Drosophila melanogaster: one gene and its partner. The protein of the gene in region 1 interacts with the protein of each later gene in a pairwise test. Each region holds a gene or a part of one and is shown in the gene's direction. Other genes may lie near its edges.

What was found.
Region 2: the proteins of CG14989 (region 1) and Nbr interact in a two-hybrid assay, tested with the Drosophila melanogaster proteins (one large-scale study listed by BioGRID).

Annotation. Positions count from the first base shown.
Region 1 is NT_037436.4:4,085,592-4,093,396, forward strand, and holds CG14989 (uncharacterized protein), read left to right. Parts: upstream 1-1,989; 5' UTR 1,990-2,113; intron 2,114-2,620; exon of another isoform or gene 2,621-3,153; intron 3,154-3,368; 5' UTR 3,369-3,375; coding exon 3,376-3,623; intron 3,624-4,447; coding exon 4,448-4,551; intron 4,552-4,681; coding exon 4,682-5,070; 3' UTR 5,071-7,115; downstream 7,116-7,805. Other genes in the region: CG14990 (uncharacterized protein), read left to right, coding at 7,648-7,725, 7,792-7,805.
Region 2 is NT_033779.5:21,159,960-21,165,032, reverse strand, and holds Nbr (nibbler), read left to right. Parts: upstream 1-1,949; 5' UTR 1,950-2,030; coding exon 2,031-2,800; intron 2,801-2,855; coding exon 2,856-3,835; intron 3,836-3,893; coding exon 3,894-4,021; 3' UTR 4,022-4,397; downstream 4,398-5,073. Other genes in the region: Noc2 (nucleolar complex protein 2), read right to left, coding at 1-269, 329-1,354; Pld3 (phospholipase D family member 3), read right to left, coding at 4,466-5,073. UniProt on the Drosophila melanogaster protein: Possesses 3'-5' exoribonuclease activity. Required for 3'-end trimming of AGO1-bound miRNAs, in particular multiple-isoform miRNAs, which represents a critical step in miRNA maturation.

The DNA of each region.
Region 1 (7,805 bases):
CTACTTGTGGTCTAAACCAACGACAACTTACAGAGTTCTCTTCTTCCTAGCAACAACAAAAAACACTGAAAATCACTCGCGAAACGGAGGAGCAACAATTCGCTGATTGAACGGACTGGGAATTACTATTGGATTTGAAATGTATATATATTTTCACAGGTTCACAGGTTTCGGGCAACTTTCACTTTCGGTTTGGGAAACTTAGGGAACTGAGCAGCCTACACTCGCTGACGATCTGCGGAGCTATGAGCAGCAGCATCCGCCTGAGTTGCCTACGAAGCTTTTCGCATCCAAAAAATGGCTGCCCATATACCACTACAAGCGTACCTATGTATATACATACTACTCCTCAATCTCTTGCATAACCTTCAGCGACAACGACAACAACAGTGGGGCTGAGGAAAATGCGGGAAATTCTCCGGGTGACGTCATTGATTTTTCGGAAACCATCTTTGTTAAGGCCATTTTGCGTGGGCGGAGCTTCGGCCATGCGCGCCCCAAAGTATCCAACAGATACACATGAAATATGTGCGCACGCCTGGTGAATGCTAAAGAAATAATAAAACGGGATAAAGGGAAAGGAAAATATAGATTGTGATGGGGCGACCAAATGAAAAGCTAATTAACAAACTAATTTTGCCACTGTTTCTGACATTTACAATGACCCACAACTTTTTATGAGAGTTTCCTGTCGAATGAAACAAAAAAAAATAACCCTATAATTACTTTCATTTCCCGCATATATGTACATATGTGCGCTTAGATATAGAAGCCAAAGCATATAGATTCCTGGTATATAGAACAAAAACGAAATTTGGGTCAAAGCTAGGCCGCCCGCCCACTTGGGCTATGCAAAATAGATATGTATCTCAGAGTGAAATTGCATCATTTCCAATAGAACGCGTTTCGTAGCATACTTTTGAGGGCCAGAGAACATCTATGGCCATGTTATGCAACTTGGGTAAAGAGCCCAGGAGCAGCAGGACCAAAAAGGACGTCCATCAAACTGGAGAAGCTTAAACAACGAGAACCCTAGGAATACTTGCCGCAAAAGAGTTCCACCCACTCCACTTCCATTCTTATCTGACACACGGAGCAGCTGGCGTAGGATGTTACCACACACTTGGCACTTGGCACTTGGTCCTGCTGCTGCTCCAGCTCCTGCTCCCTGGGCAGGATCCAATGCGTCAGCGTATTTTCGTTGCGAGGGCTCTGGCACTTGAAAAGTGTCTTTCGATGTAACTGATTGCAACTTAAGAAGGCCATTACAGTGGCAATAACTCCCTTGCTAGTCCCTGTGATCCATCTTTTTTATTGAATGCCTGCAATATTGGCAAAATGAAGTCGACACTTGTTCAACATGACTTTCAAAACATTCTCATAGGGCGTAGTGCATTACTTTGTAGCACTAGCTAGAAGAAATCCAACGGCAGTTGCAGAAAGTCCATAAAGCCGTAATTGCACAACGAAATCGTTACTTTTGATGTGGCAACAACTGTGTGAAAGGACTTTCTTCGCAGTTTTTTAATTGTTAATTGCTCAATTGCTTTCTTGAAACAATAAAAACATTTTAGAAGACCTTAAGTGACAAATATGGCGCCTAATAGATATGAATTTGCACCCTACGCCTTAACATCTGCGTAACCCTTTAACAAAACCCATCCATCACAAGTGTCAGACAAATATTTCTGATACAAAAACAGCTCATGGTATTTAGAACCACTAAACATGGCGAAATAAAGTCGCCTGCTATCTGAAAAGCACTTCAACGGCATGTGCTACCAATAATAATTAGGCACTCGGTCTGCACTTATCGCAGATATATGGCAAACAGACCAGTCTGAAAAGGAGGGGGGGATCGGGTGTATCTGCGATAGTCTATCCTCTGATTCGCACTTGAATCTATGACACCGGCAGATAAAGCCATCAAAAACATTTATTATTAGTAAGTGGGATTTTCGTTTGGGCCGGTTTGGGCTCAGTTGAACAACTGCTACCATTTGTAGCGGACAGCTTTATATAAATCCCGTCGAGTTAAGGATTTAAGCATTTCGAGCGGAGCAGGTGCCACGAACAATCGGATTTAATTGAGTCAAACTTTTGGAAAAGCACAGTGAGTTGTAACAGGAAACGGAAACAGAAACAGAAACAGTAACAGAAACAGCAGCAGACATGGACAAACAAAAGGATTATGGGTTTAAGCCATTTTAAGAGCGATGTTTAAAATACTCTCAAAAATAATGGTTGCAATACAAGCATGTCGCCTTGCAGTCCCTTTTAAAAGTTATATGTACATTTTTAAGGAATATTTTAGTTAAAAGAATAGTCATATTACTAAAAATAACAAAGCTTTGAAGAACTATTTATTTGATTTTAATCAAACTAGAAAGCTGAAAGGGATTTGTAAAATTATCAAAAAATAAAACTATGCAGTCATTAAATATTTAATACTTCATTATAAACATTCCTTATTATTAATGATAGCAGATAAATAAATTGAGATAGATACTTTGCATCAGTAGAAATAGTTAGACAGGATCGATACCCTTTCATAAGAGCACAACTAGCGAATGGAATTGAACAATGAGATGAGCTCTCGACCAGAAAATAGGATGCTCACCTGGCTGTGATTGCACGTAGCGCAAGTAGGCCCTGTAACCCAGATAGGCGAAAATGTTTGGAGTCAAGTGCCACCCACGGATGCGGATGGAGCTGGGAGCTTGGGTCTGCTATTCTCGGGCGGCTAATTCAGACCGGGCGTTTCTGGCCAGGGCGAAGCGTCCTCTTTGGCACTCGACTCTCAACTGCCAGCCAGAGGCATCAGAAGCACAGTGGGCCAGGGAATGCTCCGCACCCCGGGGGCCATGAACATTTTTCGTTGCCCGTGGAAAACAAATGGGAGTTTGGGAATTTCGACTGTTTAGCCTGTCATTACGCTGACAAAATAAGATTCCAGCAGGTTGGTTAGCTGAGGCATTTATGTGAGGTATTTTCGACGAGAATCCCGTTGCAAAAGCGTTGTCAGGATGCCAGAATGCCAGGATGCCAGGTGGGAGTCTCAGTTGCGTTCGAAAGACAGGCGATTGCATAACCCCTTTCGGTTTGGCAAATCAAGCGAATGATATTCGGATAGCAAATGCTCGGGATAACAATGGTGTAAGGATTAGGCCCCGCAGGCAAGTACCCCAAACGCTGCTTTTTGCTGCCTATTTTTGAGAGCGCGATAATTGCATTTCGAGCACAATTGCTCCTATTGTACGGGGCCAAACAGTCTCCATTTTGGCCCAGTCCTCCCTGGAGGATAATACGCCCCAAACCAGCGTGAAAAACCCATCCCCCAGTTCCGTAATCTACCCATCTCTTTTCAGCCCAGCGATGGGAGAGCGTGTTGAAAAGCGACAGAGAAAAATGGGGGGATGTGGATTACAGCTCGTCATACCATTGGTCACAATCCTCATCCTGGCTGCGCAGGCGCAGGCTGTGACGTCATCGCCCGTCCTGAAGGACGACACTTTGGGGGATGCTGCTCCGACGGCAGCGCATTCAGCAGCCAAAATCCTTGAAGACGTCCAAACCATCAGCGCAGTTCAGGATTGGAGTTTGCTGTGTAAAGAGCTCTGCGGGTAAGTTTCGGATAAACAGCAATCGAAAACTCTAGGAATTACTGAAAGTAAGGTGCCTCGGCGCAAAGTGACTCAAGTGTTTATTGTTGGCAAGTGCAGGTTTCCCCCCAACACAAAAAAAAGTGCAAACTAATAATGATAATAATACGACACATTTACCAACTAAAATGTTGGCCTTGAGAAATCATTTGCAAATCGCGTCGGCCTTTCAAGTGGCTTCCATCGAGGTTTTCCCACAATCGCGTGTGTCAGGGAAATATAATCCGCATTCCTGATGATCGGTGGCTATATCAATGATTCGTGACTCGACTTTTGTGGCGTGTGTGCAGTAGTTTGTCAAGTGCCAAATATGTTAAGTATAAATGGCACTCGAAGTCGCCAGAAGTACTGTGCTCACTTAAAAAATTGAATAGGCTTTAAAAAATAAATTCTAAATGTCGGGTCAAAGCTAATCAAAATTATTTCACAATTTTACGATATATAATTTACAAATATTATTAATTAGAACATTTTGGCTTGCGTTTATATTTAAAATATACTCTGCATTATTTTTTAATTTGGTGTTTAATACTATTTAAAAATGTTTTGAAATAAATATATTTTTTACAAAAAAAAAAAACAGTTTATCAAGTCGAGATTTTCCTAGATCATTTGTGCTATTTAAAACTATGTTATCTGTAAACCTAGTTTCAATAACAATTATGCATATATCATGGTTCTTAACTTGGTAATGCGAGTGTCATATACTGTCATCTTAAATCTTTTTTTTTTTTAATTTACTCTGCATTGCAATTTAATCAGCATTTTATGGTTGATCCTTGCAGAGCTGGCCTGGGCGTTGCTTCAACGCCTGATGTGGCCAAAAACACAATCCTGAGACCGGAGACGGATGTGGCCAAGTGCCGGCAACTGTGTGGACTGCCTAGGGGTAAGTGGAAAATAATATATTGAAACTCTATTCAAAATATTATACTTTAATGATTATTATGGTCGAACTTAAGGTTAATTTGCTTTTTGAAAAATAAACATACTAATCAAATGCACTTATTTACTTCCAGCTAAAGCGGGCGACTTGGTCTGCTCGAGCTTTTGTGGTCAGATGGGTCGCTCCCTGCCCGGATGCAGTCCCTGCCAGCAGGAGGTGCGCAGGATGAGGGTGATGAAGGAGCGGAAGCAGGAGGAGGAGAAGCAGGAGGAGGTTCGAAAGGACGAGGAGAAGGCCAGTGGAGTGCTGGGCGATCCAACACACGGTTCCAGAGCCGCGGAGAATGCCGAACGGAGAGGATCGGTCGAGGAAGCAACAGTGTCCGCAGCTACCGTGGCAGCCGCCTCGGAAACGGACACAACCACTCCGGCACCGGACTGGGACGAAGTGTGCAAGGTGCTCTGCAAGACTGGCGATGGCGGGTCTTTGTGCAACTGTGATTTATCGCCGTTCTTCAGCTGAGCGATCCCCACCTTCCTGAGGGGATCGCTCCCGATGGAGGCGCTAAATCACAAAACCATATATATGGATCGAGAATTATCTGATTATCTGATGTTTTGTTGTTCTTCGTTTTTGAACTTCAGTTAGTGCTATTGTTGTCATGAAAAAGTATCTCCCATATATAATCTATATCGGAAAACGTGTTACGAAAGTTTAGTTAAATACTGTAAAGAGATAAAAACAAAAACTATAGAAAAATCAAAAAAAAAATCAAACAATTCAATATAAATAATACATAGAGAAGAATATACGATGAGGAGGAGGAGCAAGCAAACAAAAAAAATTCCCTATGCGAATCAATTAATTTGTAACTAATTTCAATTACAACTAACTATAGAAAAGCTATAGAGTAAGCAAGGGGGGGGACTTTACCCCCCACACTCGAGAAACAGCAGAATCACGCAGGGCTTCCAGTGCGTCGCCTCGGAGGATGAGGATGCCCTCCCAAAAGGCATCCGAAATCCCCGGGACGGACACAACCCGTATTTAGGTGATTGGTCAAGGAATTGGACTGAGGAGACACAAGAAGAGATATATGAAGATGAACAACCAATTAATATCAATGTACACAACATATCGTGCGGTAAACACTACCCAAAATCAAAAAACAAAAAAAAAAACACCCAATCACATTTATTTGGAATACACCTTGGTTCGATGGAATCAGCATATCAATTTACCACGAGGCAAAAACAAGTTGGTATCTAAAGAATTTCCTTTGTTTTGGCTTACAAGTTATTGGCGAATCTAAAGCATTGAGATATTTCAAATCAGCATCAATTAGGAGTGTCGCAATTAGGCCAAAGTGCCAACCAAGAGTTTAGTGTTGGTTACGGCCCTTAAACGCAAAAGCAACATTTATAAAATATATACTTGTACTTACTAACGAATAACACATGTAATTGGTCTATATATATATCCACAAAATGAGTTGCGATTGCAAATCAGAAACTCAGACGGGCTATACTGGATCTACCAGACCCGTATACATCATATATATATATATATGAATATATATATATACATAAAGCTGTAAACCATAGTTACCATAATATCTAGGTGTCATATTGTTCAGCATAAATAATCGCATATGATGTATTGTATGCATATTATCTGTGTGTTTGGAAGACATTTTTTCGCATTGCATTGAAATGGAAGACAACTTAAATCGCATTCTGGAAGACATGCGTTGCGGCAGCGCCAAAAAGATCGGCCAGCTGCCAAATAGTTTGTAAGATATTCTATATAATAATAATAATAATGAGATTTTCGATTCGAGCTCGAAGATATAGTCAATACAAGCACACGTTGTTGTGGCAAACGCGACGCTGTGACTGACAATAATTAACTATAACTTAGCAGGAGAAGAGCAGGCAAGGAAGTTCGCATACTCAGTGTCTATATATCAGTACTATTGCTAATATTAACCATGCACTACTACTAATCAAGGAAAATGGAAAATAATTAATAAATATTGTATTGCACCAAAGTTATAAGGCAATTTTCAGAGCACATTCATTGATAACCTAATGCGGCTTCAGTATGTATATCGATGTGTAGCAAGTTAATCACTCAGTAATTAATATACGAAATGCACTTTACATTTATGTATATGTATATGTGTTAGGCGTTGCGTTTCTGCCATGAATACAGCGACTAGCGAACCGATCACACGGATTATGCCGGAATAATATCCATAATTCAATAATATATATATACATATATATATATATTTATAACCAACAGACACATCATCATCATCAATTACGAATACCGAGTCGAAAACCGTTTCGAACCGATTATGCCGTTTCGCAGTTTCGTTTCTTTAGTTTTATCCAATGGCCAGGCATTATCTTAGTCGGTAATGTCTGGGGCTATGGTTAAAATAACACAGAAAAATAGATTTAAAGGCAATTTCACAACAGATAACCATAACAGCAACTACACAACCAAATAAAGGCAATTATTATCTTATATACGTTAAATGTTGTAAAGCCCCTCTAAACAAAAAAAAAAACAAGAAAGCCTGTGTTTTATTGGGATGGCTAAGGGGCTCAATAAATATGCAATTCAATTTTTTATTTTATTAATTTTATTACATTTTTTACAAATACCCCGAGTTTTCATTTAATTTGAATAACAAGAACTAACGTAACGTACAATTTGAATACACTGCTTTACCACGTAAGCTTGAGGAACCGTTTCACTGCTTCAACCGTGGCAAGCAGTGCATAACCGCTTGAGCTGCTTTAAACAGTATTTCAAATCAGGGCGCGCTGTCTACATTCTTATCTATATGTGTATAACAAAAAAATTGATTGCTTATTTCTTAGGTACCTACATACATATATTAATTATTTCCCATAGGAGTGCATGCGTATATTTTTCGTAGATATTATTCGCTCTCTTTTAGAAAATATATAAAGCTTAGTATGTATACTATCAACAGTGACTGATAAGCATGATTCCCGTCGAATTTTTAAAAGTGTCGCAGCTTCTGACTTTTAGTCGTTTGGAATTTGTGAGCTCAAGCAAACCATGCTCAAGAACTGGACAATAAATACGTTCCTTTTGGTTTCGTTTCTTTGTAGTGCGACTGGGCAAAATGAAGGAGGAGTATATAATATTTTTTGAAATATTTAATCAATATTTTATTCAATTCAATTAAAAAAAAAATTGTAGGCACCTGGAATATT
Region 2 (5,073 bases), on another chromosome or scaffold:
CACAAGCGCAGCGAGTTAATAAATTGCCAGTTGTAAACCGCTTGGAAACTGTCCTTTTTCTTAAGGATCACTGCATTTCGCAGGTGAATGGCCAACTGTCGGATGTAGAGGAAGACATGTTGATAACTGACGTTTAAATCCAACGCGAACATCTCCACCAGCGAGCGGCGCATAAAGTTGATTCCTGGTAAAGTGTTCGGCGACACGAACTTGGAATTGCGTACATAGGCCAGGTACATGGCTTTTAGAACGTGATTCAGCATGGTCGCCTGCAAGAACCATTGGTGTTAGCAGGGGTCACAATAAGTGTCTAGTTCAGAATATTTACCTGCTGTTTCCTGGTTATCTTCAGAATGCAGAGAAAGGCCAGAACACGAACTGTTTCATCTCCAGTGGACCATAAGACAACCAGACGCTTTAATATGGTCTTTCCAAGTGCCGAAAAGGGAACCACCATGCCGGCCATTTGATGCAAATGCTTCAGCAACACGCCCAAGATATTTGGACTGGACACCTGCTCCACCAGACGAATCAAATCGGTGAGGTAGTAGCGCAAACAGCCTCGCACCTTGACCCACTTCTTGTGCTTGTGCAGCGGTAGGCTGCTGTTGGGTCTAACGCCCAGCAATCGAATTATAGCGGGCTGCAGGTGGATTACGCAGAGCTGAATTACTCCATTAAACGCAGCTGCCCCCACTACCTTAAATGCGGCAGCATTATGCTTGTTCTCTCCTCCGTCCGCTCCGTCGGCAGAGATACTAGCCAGAGCTGAATTGAAAGCCTGGATAACCTTGCGGACAATGTCAATAGATATGTTGGCCTGGCCCAATTGCTGTTCCCACTGATGCAACAGGTTGAGGGTGATCTTTTGGATACCTCCAGCTGCCGCATCGTCCTCTTCGTCGACCTCAAAGTCACTCTCATCGCTAGCCACCTCCAAATCCTTGCTGGGTTTGTGGTACTTCTCTTCGTCATCCTCGTCATCCTTACTTTCCTTAGTTACCGTATCTTCCTTGTCTTCCTCATCCCCCTCTTCATCATCATCATCATCTGTGTCCAGTAAATTAAAGTCCAGTAGCTTCTTATCATTATTTTTTAAGAAATCATAAAATTCTGGGTCTATATCTTTAAGCCCTTCAAGCTCCTCTTTGTGGGATTTCTTAAATCCCTTTTTTGTGGTCTTCCCATTCTTCACTGGTTCGGCGACTTTCTGCTTCGGGTTTCTTGGAGTAACTTTCGTTTCAGAGGTTGTTTGCGGTTTCGTCTTCCTGATGGCATCCTTGGCGGGCTTCTTTTTGCTTAGGTCAGGCTTGGATTTGCCCAGGGTCTTAATTTTTTTCGTAGCCAGCTTCATTTTTCAACGTGCAAACTAAAACAAAAATGCACGTGTGCTGTTCAACGGGGCTGCCACGCTGCTGAATTGTGGGCAGTGCTGCCAATGCGTTAGGAAAATAGAGCTAAATACAGCTATAGTAAAAATAGGCAAGTTTTAACAATTTAATTAAAATAAAAACTCATTAACTCATTTGCCAGTTGGACTTCAAAGGCAACACAGTTAGAATAACTATAATACTTATTATTTTAGCTAGACTTTTATCAAATAGTTGTTCTTTGGATTTCAATCCTGCAATACAAATGATTGCCGTATTTCCAAGCAAATTTAATAAATAAATTTTCCAATCAAAGTAAAAATTGTAAATAATTTTGCACCGGCGGATTTCATGTACCTTGTTCACTGTATAAAAAATTGCTAATTATAAATATATATTTAATATTAATATATATATATATATATATAGCTTTCTAGCAACAAGGCATTAATCTGCGAAAAAAATAATCTTGCTTTAAAAAAATCTATAACTTTTGGCGGTTTCTGCTGACGTTTGGTGTTGTTTTGGGCGGTCACTGAAACATCGATGTTTTTGAAATCGATATTTCCATCGAAGTTTGTTCGCCTTTACCGTCAATTGCATTTGCAATTGGCAATTGCACTTGCTTCGCTCTGCAGTGGCACGGGAAACCCGTGAGAAATGGCACGCAAGAGCCACATGTACAACGCAATACCCGCCGGCTTTGAGTCGGACGAGGAGAACATGGAGAACCTAATGAGCAACCTGAAGATCAAGCGCTTGGAGGACATCACGACAGGTGCTGGAATCGACGGCTGTAACTTTGACGCCACCTTGGACGCAAAGGCGGAGGAGTTTTTTAAGCTGTTCCGCGAGAAGTGGAACATGTATAGCAAGAAAAAGTCGCCACATCTGCGCCAGGAATTTGGAAGGGCTTTAATGGGCCATCAGGATCCTTTGCTCCTGGCCCTGAAGATCTTCGCCAACTGCCCAGACAGCAGCAACATCAAGACGAAGAGCTTGTCACATTTTGTGCTGGACACGGTTTGCAAGCTCCACAAGGATTTCCCGCATCTTGGCGAGGGCTGTGATCCCAACACCAGCATGATAGCCTTTAACTTTGTCAAGACCTCCGGCTTGCTGGCCCTCAACAATGCTGTTATCCATGCCTACAGTCTACGTCAGATCCGCGACCTACTGCTTCCCAAGTTGCGCGAACTCCTGGACAACGGGCTTTACAAAGAGGTCACCCAATGGTCCATCAGTCTGCAGTTGACGCACGAGTTCGACATGCTGGAACTGGCTTTCCCGCTGATTGCAATTGAGAAACTACCACTGGCCGAGGAATATCTGGACCATGCCACACAGCAGAGGTTGCCCTTTGTCAAGTTCTTGGATTCGTTGCTGCACAAGGAGAAGTCGGTTTTAGAGCTCTGCGAGCATCTACTCGAGTATGTATTTGAAAAACTGGTCTTGCAATTCATCTAATTCTATCTTCACTTGCAGTCGGTACAAAAATCTCAAAATTTCCCATAACGTGCTCAGCTATCGGCCTATGGCCAAGATTGTGGCGCGACTGGCCAAGAAGTATGGTTTTGACGACGCCGTCACGCCCAACTATAAGTTCACGAAGACGTGCAGCTACTTGCATTACCTTTACCGCGAGTACGAGAAGACGCGCATGAACCTGGCCAGTTTCCGGGAGGTTGTGAGCGTCCATGCCTTTAACCACGAGCTGCGCACGGACTTCGTAAAGTATTTGGCCTCTGCTGGAGCTCATTCTGAAGCCATCTACTGGTACACGGAGTTCAATATTGACCCGAAAGATTGTCCGTTGGAGATCGAGACGCAGGTATCGCAAAACGGTGCTGGAAAAGCGTCAGGCTGGGAATCCCCCGGCAAGGAACGCTGTCCTTCGAGTAGATGTGATATGTACCTGACCATGGACCTGCCCGACGAGTGCCTTATCATTGTGAACAAGGCTGATGAGTTCGATCGTATGTTATACCATCTGCAGCAGGAGTGCGTCATATACCTGGATTCTGAATGGATGCAGAGCGTGTGCGGAGACAATCAGCTGTGCGTGCTACAGATCGCCACCGGCCACAATGTCTACCTGATCGATTGCCTGGCGCGGGAGAGCTTACGCTCGGAACACTGGCGCTTGCTGGGCGCGAATATCTTTAATAACGTGAACATCCGTAAGGTGGGGTTCTCTATGGTCAGTGATCTCAGTGTATTGCAGCGGTCACTGCCCCTGCAACTGCGCCTTCAAATGCCTCACCACTACTTGGACCTTCGCAATCTCTGGTTGGAGTTAAAAAAGCAGCGCTTCGGCGTTGAACTTCCCTTCGGCAATGTTAACCGGGCAGGAGACGCCCTTACGGATCTCTCATTGGCATGCCTTGGCAAGAAACTGAACAAATCAAACCAGTGCTCAAACTGGGCCAATAGACCGCTGCGTCGCGAGCAGATTCTTTATGCAGGTGAGTCAGGGATAGGCCTTTTGATTGAATGTAGCAAGACTAATTTTCTACTTAACAGCCATCGATGCGCGGTGTTTGATGCTGATCTACAACACGCTCATTGAACGCGTGTCCTTCATACAAGCGGTTATCGAAAAGAGCATCGCCAGCAATAACTTTCTCAGGCGGGGTGCCCATGTTAAGTGATTGAGGAGCTGGCCTCTGTTATACCCATGCTCCTTTTGATGGATAGCGATTATCACGAAGACGACAAAGGCGTTCGCCCAACATTTATTAAGTGCAAATGTTATATGTAGTTGCAAAGAGTATTTAACATATATTTAGTGACTAGCCAGGCAGCTGGGTTAGTGCCGAGTTAGGCAGTTTGTACACATGTTACAAATCAGAAGGAAACTATGTGACTGCGAGCAGGATATGAAAGAATGAATTTTATTACGTTATGATTTCAAGCTCACTGTATCTCCATACTTTAAATACTTGCATTATTCCAATTCGTAAATTCGCGTATTATTTGAATTCACGCATGATCAAAACTGAATAAAAGCAATGAATAGGATTGAACAATTGTCGGGAGCTAAAATAGTTAAAATAACATTGGCATCGGAATAATCACATTACAACGTTGTGCGATTATACCAGCGGTGTGGCGTACTTGCTATTCCAGTCCCGCTCGAAAACATTCCGCAGATCGCTTCTTAAGGTATTAGTGGTCTCGGTCTCGAAGGTTTCGCTTAGCACCAGTCCAATGCCAGCGGTGTCCGTGAAGTAGTCTCCACTCCAGTTAGAAGTTCCGATGTAAGCCACTCGATCTGTAACCATGTACTTGTTGTGGTTGACACGGCCAAAGGGAATCTTCTCCTGGCTCGAATCAGTCGGCACTATGAATCGACGAATTTGTATATCAATTTTGTCTTCTTTGGATGCCAAGTCCTGCAGTGACCTGAGATACCGGTCCTCACTGGGATTCGAGTGCTTCCACCACGAAATAAGGAGCTTCACAGCCACGCCCCGTTCTACAGCCGCCTTTCGCAGAGCGTCGTCGATAAACGGCCAATAGTGGTGGTTCTTCTCGTATATGATCAGCGGATAATAGTCCATAACCGCAATATTTACGTAAGTTATGGCCGTGTTAATAGTGTTGAGGATGGCGTTCAGGTCGTCTGTTCGGCCGGAGGGTGAAAGGGGAGGCGGTGAGCTAGATAGGAAGCCCTCTATGCTAGTATTTTTGTTTACACTCA